3 linked regions of the Arabidopsis thaliana genome follow. The protein of the gene in region 1 interacts with the protein of each later gene in a pairwise test. Each region holds a gene or a part of one and is shown in the gene's direction. Other genes may lie near its edges.

The links.
Region 2: the proteins of GRXS17 (region 1) and AT4G35910 interact in a two-hybrid assay, tested with the Arabidopsis thaliana proteins (one study listed by BioGRID).
Region 3: the proteins of GRXS17 (region 1) and XDH1 interact in a two-hybrid assay, tested with the Arabidopsis thaliana proteins (one study listed by BioGRID).

Annotation. Positions count from the first base shown.
Region 1 is NC_003075.7:2,518,429-2,522,182, reverse strand, and holds the start of GRXS17 (thioredoxin family protein), read left to right. Parts: upstream 1-2,120; 5' UTR 2,121-2,258; coding exon 2,259-2,429; intron 2,430-2,511; coding exon 2,512-2,586; intron 2,587-3,080; coding exon 3,081-3,754. UniProt on the Arabidopsis thaliana protein: May only reduce GSH-thiol disulfides, but not protein disulfides. Participates probably to the maturation of iron-sulfur proteins and to the regulation of the redox state of the BOLA proteins.
Region 2 is NC_003075.7:17,009,623-17,013,376, reverse strand, and holds the start of AT4G35910 (Adenine nucleotide alpha hydrolases-like superfamily protein), read left to right. Parts: upstream 1-1,734; 5' UTR 1,735-2,069; intron 2,070-2,339; 5' UTR 2,340-2,362; coding exon 2,363-2,658; intron 2,659-2,740; coding exon 2,741-3,089; intron 3,090-3,182; coding exon 3,183-3,269; intron 3,270-3,544; coding exon 3,545-3,666; intron 3,667-3,754. Other genes in the region: MCA1 (PLAC8 family protein), read left to right, coding at 1-86, 256-371, 502-573, 681-787, 1,042-1,135, 1,219-1,271. UniProt on the Arabidopsis thaliana protein: Plays a central role in 2-thiolation of mcm(5)S(2)U at tRNA wobble positions of tRNA(Lys), tRNA(Glu) and tRNA(Gln). May act by forming a heterodimer with NCS6/CTU1 that ligates sulfur from thiocarboxylated URM1 onto the uridine of tRNAs at wobble position.
Region 3 is NC_003075.7:16,623,472-16,627,225, reverse strand, and holds the start of XDH1 (xanthine dehydrogenase 1), read left to right. Parts: upstream 1-2,034; 5' UTR 2,035-2,242; coding exon 2,243-2,369; intron 2,370-2,737; coding exon 2,738-2,837; intron 2,838-2,934; coding exon 2,935-3,043; intron 3,044-3,125; coding exon 3,126-3,754. Other genes in the region: XDH2 (xanthine dehydrogenase 2), read left to right, coding at 161-322, 477-611, 696-932, 1,049-1,222, 1,296-1,538. UniProt on the Arabidopsis thaliana protein: Key enzyme involved in purine catabolism. Catalyzes the oxidation of hypoxanthine to xanthine and the oxidation of xanthine to urate.

The DNA of each region.
Region 1 (3,754 bases):
TTGTAAGTTTAAGACTCTCTAAATCTTGTTGTTGGCTTTAAGGTTAGTGGACTCATGTATATATTGTTGATGCAAATAATTTATATCGCTTAAGTAAATGATGTATATATTGTTGATGCAAATAATTTAAAAGTATACATAATATTTGCATTGCTTGTTGTAACTAATGTTAATTTGAGTCAACTAAAAAAAAAGATGTTATCTTTTTAAATCACTTTTTGTAAGTGTTCTAAGTATTTGCATCAGTTTATCAAAATCATATATATGAAAGTTGGTCAAAATCATATATATTTGTCATGTGTCTATTAAATAATTAATGTAAGCTCTTCAACTTCTAATTTATAGGTTAATGATACATTTATTATTTATTTTTATATTATTTTATTTTACATATTTAATGTACTATTACTAAATTTATTTTAATATTACATGATTTTTCAATAAAACCATTTTAATAGTTTTTTCATACTCGAATATTTTTTTTGTAATCCAAACTCAAAGTATGAGTATATAATAATCATGGATTAGTTAGTGATTTGAGTAGGTTATTCTCTTAAATTGATATTTATATAATAAATCACCGAGGGTGTAGAATACGTACAAACCTCCATCATTTCGTCTGAACCCTCATTTTGCGCCGATTCTGTCAACAATGGTTGGAGGAAGAGGAAAACCTGGAGGAAAGGGAAGACGCAGTGTGAAGAAACAGGAAGAGAAAGAAGTTGAACGTGGTAGAGATGAGTTTTTATCAAAATCAAAAACTCCTCATCCAAAAGGATTTCCTCCAATGCAAGATCTAAGCACCAACGTGGTCACTAATAGAGGTGGATTGCAGCCTATGAAGGTAATGTAGTAGTATATTGTTCGCTTTTTGTTAATTGTTTTCGGATCAGTATACTTTTTTTTCTTTTTTCTTAAGGAATTGTGGGATGTAGAATATGTTCACATCCCTAAGAAATTGAGCTTGAAAACGGTTCTTGACAATATGAAACAAACTATGGCTCAACGTGGGTTCTACATCCGATCTGTAGATGCTTATGTTCGGAAAAGGTTTCTCACCGAGAACAAACCCCTTATTAAACGTCTTCGCCGATCAGACGTGAACATAATTGAATCACAAGAATACCCAGAGGAATATCTAGGTAAGACCACGTTATATTTATCAAAGTTTTGGTAACCTTAATGACGTCATTAAAGAGTTTTGTTTTTGATTAAATTTTTCTAATGGCATTATCATGTAATTAATTACAAAAATAAAGGTTACATTTAAAATGTACTTCCCAAATAATATAGTAGGATAATCGATGTTAATTAAATAAAATGACTTTCAATTAATTGTTTTTAAAAAGTATTATGTAATTTCATTAATTAATATGAAGGCAAACTTTGCATACTAAGTTTTATATTTTTTTACACCACCAAAAAACCAAGGTCACTATATGTAAGAAAACTATGAAACCTCTTTTTTTGTGGGAGAAATGTAGGATTTTGACAAATTAAGTAAACATTTACATCACATTTTATAGTCGATGATTAGTCGTTAACTAGTATCAGTTTCCATTGATGTAAATTTTGTATCATTTTAAATAGTGATGTTACACAAAAATTAATAGATGCATCAATTATCTAAATGATGTAAGCTTATATATTATATCATTTAAAAAAAAAGATAGTATAATAAAATAACTAAAAATACAAATGCTAAAATAATTGTGGATTTTTAATATAACAGAATTAAACAATTCCACACATACAAAACAAAGGAGAAAAAAAGAATTGTAACCTAATTCTTAGACTGTTTTATGAGAATCCAATTCGATGAGGATTGATATATACAATTCCTCTAATTAGTATTAATTTTAGAAAGAAAAAAATAGGATTAAGATTTTATTAGTCAAACTTACTTTTAGTAGTTTTAATTTAAATGTATCTAATATTTTTCAAAATTATTTTATTTTTAAAGATTGTTATCACCTAGAATTTTAACATTTTTACCTTACTTAATTTCCAATTTTTTTTTCCTTCCGCTGACATATATAATTTTACTATTTTTATAAAAAGAAATTACATAAGTGAGCAATTTTAGCATCACATTGGGCACACAAAAACCCTAATTGTATCGTTAGGTCCTTTTATTTTGTTATATTTACATAAATCTCCTTTCTTTCTCCAGCAACAGAGTGTATTCTGCTCGATAATAAATTGGTAAATCACAACACAAAAAAAAAGTGTTAAGAGATCCTTCTCCCTCTTCGAAGATGAGCGGTACGGTGAAGGATATCGTTTCAAAGGCGGAGCTTGATAACTTGCGCCAGAGCGGCGCACCAGTCGTGCTTCACTTCTGGGCTTCTTGGTGTGATGCTTCGAAGCAGATGGATCAAGTTTTCTCTCATCTCGCTACTGATTTCCCTCGTGCTCACTTCTTTAGGGTTCGTCTCTGTTCTCTTGACCAATTCAAAATTTTATCACTTTCAATGAGGTTTTTGACTGTTATTGGTTTTATCTTCTTAGGTTGAAGCTGAGGAACATCCTGAGATATCTGAGGCTTACTCTGTTGCTGCTGTGCCTTATTTCGTCTTCTTCAAGGTAAAGTTACGTTTTTTTTGTTCCCTATGATTTGATCAAAACTTAGGATTTAGGGTTTTTGTTTTTGCTTAAAGTTGTTTGTCTAATTTGGTAGAAGAAGAAGACATTGATGAAGTCATACTTATTGATTCTTTATGTTGCTTTGTTTGGTTGCAATTTTCTGTCTTTATAGCATTGAGAGTGTGTTCAAAAGTTTGAATCTTTGTCCCTATGTTTTGATCGAAAGTTTAGGATTTAGGGTTTTTGTTTTGATTAGTTTGCGTCTCTGTTAGATTACTGAAAGCTGTTTATCTAATCAGGTAGTAGAAGAAGATGGTTCGCCTATCCATTTAGCTCCAGACTTATTGATTCTTTGTTTTAATTGGTTGGTTGCAATTTTCTGTCTTTATAGGATTGAGAGTGTGTTCAAAGCTTGAATCTTTGTCACTGCACTGTAATGATTGTTCTGAAAGTTGTTACTTTCTTCTGACTGTGAATTCGTTTTCTTATTGAAGGATGGTAAAACTGTGGATACACTTGAGGGTGCAGATCCATCAAGTTTAGCTAATAAGGTTGGCAAAGTTGCTGGTTCTAGTACTTCTGCGGAGCCTGCTGCTCCTGCAAGCTTAGGGTTGGCTGCTGGGCCAACGATTCTTGAAACTGTGAAGGAGAATGCGAAAGCTTCTTTACAAGACCGAGCTCAGCCTGTATCTACCGCCGATGCTCTCAAGAGCCGTTTGGAAAAGCTCACTAATTCTCACCCTGTCATGTTATTCATGAAAGGTATTCCTGAAGAGCCTAGGTGTGGGTTTAGCAGGAAAGTAGTTGACATTTTGAAAGAGGTTAACGTTGATTTTGGAAGTTTTGACATACTATCGGATAACGAAGTGCGAGAGGGTTTGAAGAAATTCTCTAACTGGCCAACGTTTCCTCAGCTGTACTGCAACGGAGAGCTTCTTGGTGGAGCTGATATCGCAATAGCGATGCACGAGAGCGGTGAACTAAAAGATGCTTTCAAAGATCTTGGGATCACGACAGTTGGTTCAAAAGAAAGTCAGGATGAAGCTGGAAAAGGAGGAGGGGTTAGTTCAGGAAACACAGGCTTAAGTGAGACCCTCCGAGCTCGGCTCGAAGGTCTGGTCAATTCCAAACCAGTTATGCTGTTCATGAAAGGAAGACCAGAAGAACC
Region 2 (3,754 bases), about 14 Mb from region 1:
AAATCTGAACGTAGCTCAAGCATGAAGACGGAATATTCGTATGACGAAGATTCTCCCAAGAAAAGCAGTACTCGTGCAGCTTCGAGGTTAGAATCTCATGTTTGTTCTAAAGATCCAAATTTCCTTACAAGTTTAAGAAAGTATAATCTTCAATTCTTTGCTGTGACTGTAATGCTTTTAGGTCTGTTTTCATGTTTGAAGGCTAAGATTTGGTACAATGTTCTATAACATCGGTTACACAATTGTTCCATGCAGATCCACTTCTAATGTTTCATCTGGGCATGATCTGCTTTCACGAAGAGCATCACAGGCACAACACCATGAAGAATGGCATACCGACTTACTAGCTTGTTGCTCGGAACCTTCTCTTTGTAAGACCACACTATTTGTTTACAATGTGGCTCCACTTTGTTTTCTCTGTTACATAGATGATTAGCGTTTCACATTCTATACTTCCTTGTTATCTGCAAAGTTCTCAAAGATTCAATGATGGAACCGCAGGCTTCAAGACATTCTTTTTCCCGTGTGGTACTTTGGCAAAGATTGCCACTGCAGCATCCAACAGGCACATCTGTAAGGGATATTATTGAATACCGTGACTTTATTAATTTTCAATCTTTTAGTAATACATGTGAAAGCTAATAAGTCAACTGGATTTTTTTTAATTTTCGCTCTCCCAGCTTCAGCTGAAGCATGTAATGAGCTAATGGCGTATTCTTTGATACTTTCTTGTTGCTGCTATACTTGTTGCGTGAGGAGGAAACTCCGGAAGACACTGAACATCACGGTATTACATTCTCATTCTCTTCCACTCGCTTGAATCCTTACCATTAATCCCATTTGATCCCAAAAATCTATATGCTTCCGAGAAAATTTCTATCATTTGCATACCATAAACAACAAATGAAATTTCGGTTAAAGATTAAGTAGACACCTGCAAAAAAATTCAGTAGTAACTATCATGGTTGAGATTGAAATGGCTATGTTTATGCCACTCAATGTAGAGTCGGAATGAATGCTTAATGTTTTCTGATTTCGCAGGGAGGATTCATTGACGATTTTCTATCTCATGTAATGTGTTGTTGCTGTGCCCTTGTACAAGAACTGAGAGAAGTTGAGATTCGTGGGGCATATGGTATGATTTACATACAAACATATTATCAATATTTGTTTCAATCTTGAAGCACTAACAAAGATCTGTCTCTCATATCTTTGCAGGTACGGAGAAGACGAAAATAAGCCCGCCTTCGTCGCAGTTCATGGAACATTGAAATCTTCTATTATACAAAAGGTGAACAAAAACAACGATTTGTTGTAACTCTGGATACGAGACGAGATTCTTCTTCGTACTACTCACTTAATATTATTGTGTTAAATCGTGGAGTCGTATGTAAATTAGTTTGGGATTCTCATCTTAATTTCAGCAATTTGTGTTGTGTGTATCACATATAGACTAACTAATTCTTATTTCAACCTTTTATCACAAGATAGGGTATTAGGTTTACCGGATGGCCAATTGAACCAAACTTGTGTTTTGGGTCAAAATAGTAGTTTTCTTTTATGAATCAAGGAGAACATATACAATTTGCTGGTGGGTGAATATTAATATTACAATAGCAAATTAAGGAAAATTCTTTGAAGAAGAAAAGAGATGAAGAAATGCATGTGAGGTATCATTACCATGACTAAAAAGCCTAAAACATTGACAAAATTGATATGACTGATGATGATTCTCTTCTATTGCTCCCAAATTGGACAAAACTTGTCGGTTCCTTTTAATGGATGGTTACATGTTTACGGTTTAGCATCTTTTAAATACTTATCAAACCATAATTTCTTTACTAATCGTCTCACCGGTATGGGTAGACTCGTAAATAACCACTTTCATCTTCTTCCCCAATTTTTCTTGCTTTCTCTAAACCCTAGTTTCAGACAAAGTAGTGACATTTTTCTAACAATTAAACCAATATCGCCGTAGTCAACCACCGCATAACGTTTTGGCGCCGCCTGAGGCTGACCTGGGGCTGCTAAAGATTTTATCGCGACGACTCTCTTTCTCTCTCAAACTGGTAACTAATCACTTATTTGCTTGTTTCGATTTTGAATGTGCACACATCGCTATCTATTCAATATATTCGCTTTATAGCAAGACTTAGCAATATACAGTGTAATAGGATTGATTATATACTGATTGAGTAAAAAAGACTAATGATTTCGTTTAGAGTAACAATCTCTTAATTATCTCGTTAATGGCGGAAAGTAGTTAAGTCTCGTGAATTAGATGTTGATAGCATTGTCTACTCCTTTGTGTTGTAATTCCTAATCTAAATTTTCCACAGTTTCAGCTGCTTGCGAATTGGAAATGGCTTGTAATTCCTCAGGCTGTGAGTCAGGTTGCTATGACCGTGAGAAAGATAATGGAAGTAAGATAGTGGATGATGCAGTATCTGGTGGCGGTAATCATGAGAGTGTCTGCGTCAAGTGTAAATGCAATGCGCCTATGACATTTGGTGACGGTGGCTTCGACGATGGAAGATTCTGCGCAGATTGTTTTAGGAACAATGTCTTTGGGAAATTCCGTCTTGCTGTTACTTCTCATGCTATGATCACTCCTTCAGATAACGTCCTTGTTGCTTTCTCTGGCGGATCATCTTCCAGGTTTTGCTCTCTTTTTTTCCTTTAGTTTCTGTTTTTTGATATGTTATTGATTGGTGTCTAAACGTAGCAAGTATGATGTTAGGGTTTCTCTTCAATTTGTGCACGAGTTGCAAATCAAGGCTTTGAAGAATTACGAGGCGAGTCGAGATAGATCTTTACCTGTGTTTGGTGTTGGTGTTGCTTTTGTGGATGAAACTGCAGCTTTTCCTGCTCTTTCCACTGAAATGATTGATGCAATTGAGTGGGTTCGATATACTGTCTCGTGTTTGTCTCCACCTGCTAAGGATCTCCATGTTGTTCCAGTCGAAAGCATATTTGGTTCAGACTCTCTTGACGCACGGGATAGACTTCTGAAGCTATTAGATTCTGTTCCTGACGATACTGGAAAAGAAGACCTTCTGCTGCATCTGAAAATGTTATCTTTGCAAAAGGTTTGGACATTATATTGCTTTTGTTTCTGTCTGGGAAAGAAATTCAGATTTGGAAATATCTTTTGTTTAATGTTGTTTGATAAACCTTTTTAGGTTGCCGCTGAAAATGGGTACAATAGATTAGTGTTGGGATCATGCACGTCGAGAATTGCTTCCCATGTTCTTACGGCTACTGTCAAGGTGTGTTGCTTAGTGCCCTGACTTGACTCGTGTTTCCTCTGGCTTAGTTATTCTATAGATTGCATCTTAGAGTGAGAACTTCATGCCAGAAAGCAATCAATGGCTACCTTAAAGAATGTAGATATTTTGGACTTAACCAATTACATCTCTAAAAATTGAAGTTTTGGTGTAAAGATTTTATTTCAGTACACAATGTTTTGTGTACTTTATTTGGACATTCCCTTTAGACTATGTTCTATCAGAATTGTGAGTTGAATTGCTTTTTCTTGAAACAGGGACGAGGTTATTCACTATCAGCAGATATTCAGCATGTTGATGCTAGATGGAAGGTTCCCATTGTACTTCCACTTCGAGATTGTGTTCGACTGGAAATAACTAGACTCTGCCTTTTGGATGGGTTCGTTTATTGGCTGCCTAGTCTACATTGTATTGTTATAGTGAACCTTATTCTTGCATAATCCAACTATTGAGTGACGTCACATATT
Region 3 (3,754 bases), about 14 Mb from region 1:
TTTGATGTGAATCCTTTTCTTTCAAATTTAGTTATCTGTCGAGGAACTGAAAAGATTAAGCTAAAGCTTCCTTGGAAATCTCACCATTGCACTACCGTTCAAAGCTAGAATCTGAATTTTGAGATACTTAATCCAATATATAATTAAACGGCTGTCACAGGCCGGTGCTCTTGTTCACGTTTACACCGATGGGACTGTTTTGGTGACACATGGAGGTGTTGAGATGGGCCAAGGGTTGCATACAAAGGTTGCTCAAGTTGCTGCAACGGCCTTTAACATTCTCCTTAGTTCGGTTTTTGTGTCAGAAACAAGCACCGACAAGGTACATTTAACTCGGTTACAAGCAGTGGACTTTTGGCCAAGACGTAGTCAGACAAAACTGTTGTTGTTCTCTCTTATCATTTCTGTGGTCTCTTAATAGGTTCCAAATGCCTCACAGTTTTTGCTCTCTTGTCGTTTTGATTGCCTTGTAACAGGTTCCTAATGCGTCACCTACTGCTGCTTCTGCGAGTTCTGATATGTATGGTGCTGCAGTTTTAGACGCTTGTGAGCAGATTATAGCAAGAATGGAGCCTGTTGCATCTAAACACAATTTCAACACATTCTCTGAGGTATTCTTTCTTTCTTCTAGCAATTTGATATAAACTCAGAAGATTTTGATGAACAAAACTCTCTTTTTCTCTGAGTGTATGTAGCTAGCAAGTGCCTGCTACTTTCAACGTATAGACCTATCAGCTCACGGTTTTCACATTGTTCCAGAACTTGAATTTGATTGGGTATCTGGAAAAGGGAACGCATATAGATATTACACATATGGAGCTGCCTTTGCTGAAGTTGAGATAGATACATTGACTGGTGATTTTCACACAAGAAAAGCAGACATAATGTTGGATCTCGGATATTCTCTTAACCCAACCATTGATATTGGACAAGTGCGCAATCTTCTCTCAACATCCTACGCTTTTAGCTGTTCGTTGGCCTTTTGCAATGTTTAAAATCCAAGAAAATCATAGAGAAAAGTGTTATTTCTGAAATTCACCATTTGCAGATAGAAGGAGCGTTTGTACAAGGACTAGGTTGGGTAGCTCTAGAAGAACTCAAGTGGGGAGATGCAGCTCATAAATGGATTAAACCAGGAAGTTTACTCACTTGCGGACCCGGAAGCTACAAAATACCTTCCATCAACGACATGCCGTTCCAACTGAATGTTTCTCTTCTCAAGGTATGCAACTATAGGAACAAGCTGTTTAAATTGGTAGCAACACATTTGAAACTGAACATGAGATTATACTCAGGGTAATCCAAATGCAAAGGCAATACATTCATCTAAAGCAGTGGGTGAGCCACCGTTCTTTCTTGCAGCATCAGCCTTCTTTGCAATAAAGGAAGCAATCAAAGCGGCTAGAAGCGAGGTAGGTCTCACCAACTGGTTCCCTCTGGAGACTCCAGCCACTCCAGAGCGTATCAGGATGGCTTGTTTCGACGAGTTTTCAGCTCCTTTTGCAAATTCAGATTTCTGCCCAAAGCTTAGTGTTTGAGCTTTAAACTTTAATAGAGGGGAGAAAGATGGATCAATCCATTTTGTCAAAGTCATATATGTAAGTTACTTCCAGTCTCCAAATACATGATGTAACATGATACATGTTTCTTCAAAGCAGCAACTTTGTTGACTAAATGCGCGCGCCATCGAGATAAAATATCAGATTTTTTTTTTCTGAACAACCTCTAACTTCAAGTGAGCAAAGAATGTGAAGCAGTTATGCTGAGCAATGCAAGACGCTTATCATCATCATATATCAAAACCAAAAATAAAACAAACAATATCATCAAAATTTCTTTTAAAGTAAATCTTAAGACAAGACAATAACACACTAGTCATAACTAATCAGACTACAATTTATAAACGAAACATAATCAGCAAAATTCAGTTAAACAAATATATAAGTGGCATTGTAAAAACATCATATAGGCTTCAATTGTTTTACTTTGTTCAAACTTAAATTTCGTTCTTTCTATTTTGGGTTCTTTACAAAAAAAAAAAAAAAAAAAAAAAAATTGACTGCACAAGTGATGATGATGAAGATGCGTATTCATTCGGTGGATGCTATCGGAAAGGAACACGAATTTTATTATTAAAAAAGGAAAATGTTATTCCTTTTTTGCTTCTCTTGACTTGGCGTAATCAACTTCGCCATCTTCGTTTTTGTTTCGATCCCAATCGAGTTTTCTCTCAATTTGAGAAATGGGTTCACTGAAAAAGGACGGCGAGATCGGAGATGAGTTTACGGAGGCGTTACTGTACGTTAACGGCGTTCGTAGAGTCTTGCCTGATGGATTGGCTCATATGACACTTCTCGAATATCTCAGAGGTGCGTATCAACTTCTTTGATTAATATCCAATTGCTGGGGATGATTTCAAGTACTCAAACAAGTTTAATTTTCAATTCAATTTTGAACTGATACTCTCTATGAAGATTCTGTTTTTTGGATTCCTAGTTTCTTACTCTAGTATGTTAAAGAAAAAGGCTTATGTTTGACTTATAGATTCTGGATTCTAAAAAAATCGAGATTATGTTTGATCCACTGTTCTTTTGTTTTTTTAGACCACTGTCTTTATTTGAGTAAGATTATGCTCCAATTGCTAGATTCGCTTGGGGACAAAAAATGACTTGCAGAGATCAATCTTTTTTTCTAAACGATCATGAAGTAGTTTCTAACTTACAGATGTTTCTTGTAGATTTAGGATTGACCGGTACAAAGCTGGGATGCGGCGAAGGTGGTTGTGGGGCTTGCACGGTGATGGTGTCTAGTTATGACAGGAAGTCAAAGACCTCTGTGTGCGTATCTGTCCCTCCTATATGTTGGCTTTGTTTAGTTTATATTTGCGCCTTCTTATTGATTCTTTCTCTGTTCATACGGAAACTTTTATTGCAGGCATTATGCTGTCAACGCTTGCCTAGCACCTCTCTATTCTGTAGAAGGGATGCATGTAATATCCATTGAGGGACTTGGGCATCGCAAACTTGGCTTGCACCCTGTCCAGGTAAGATTTACTTCTCTCAGGTTCTATTTCTTCTTATTTTGCGGAGATTCTTTTGTCACTGTTATGATCTTGATTCTCTCAGGAGTCTTTGGCATCTTCCCATGGTTCCCAATGTGGGTTTTGTACTCCCGGGTTTATCATGTCCATGTATTCGTTGTTGAGGTCAAGTAAAAACTCACCTTCTGAGGAGGAGATTGAAGAATGTCTTGCAGGAAATCTATGTCGTTGTACTGGTTATCGACCCATTGTTGATGCGTTTCGGGTTTTTGCAAAATCTGATGATGCTCTCTACTGTGGTGTATCTTCACTTAGCCTTCAAGATGGTTCTACTATTTGCCCATCTACTGGCAAACCTTGCTCTTGTGGATCAAAAACAACAAATGAAGTTGCCAGTTGTAATGAAGATAGATTTCAGTCAATCTCTTATAGTGATATAGATGGAGCTAAGTATACAGATAAGGAGCTTATTTTCCCCCCTGAACTTTTGCTGAGGAAGTTAACTCCCTTAAAGTTAAGGGGAAATGGGGGGATTACCTGGTATAGACCCGTATGTCTTCAGAACTTGCTTGAGCTCAAAGCAAATTATCCTGATGCAAAACTACTGGTAGGTAATACAGAGGTGGGAATCGAAATGAGATTGAAGAGGTTACAGTATCAGGTGCTGATCTCTGTTGCTCAAGTCCCAGAACTCAACGCATTGAATGTCAATGA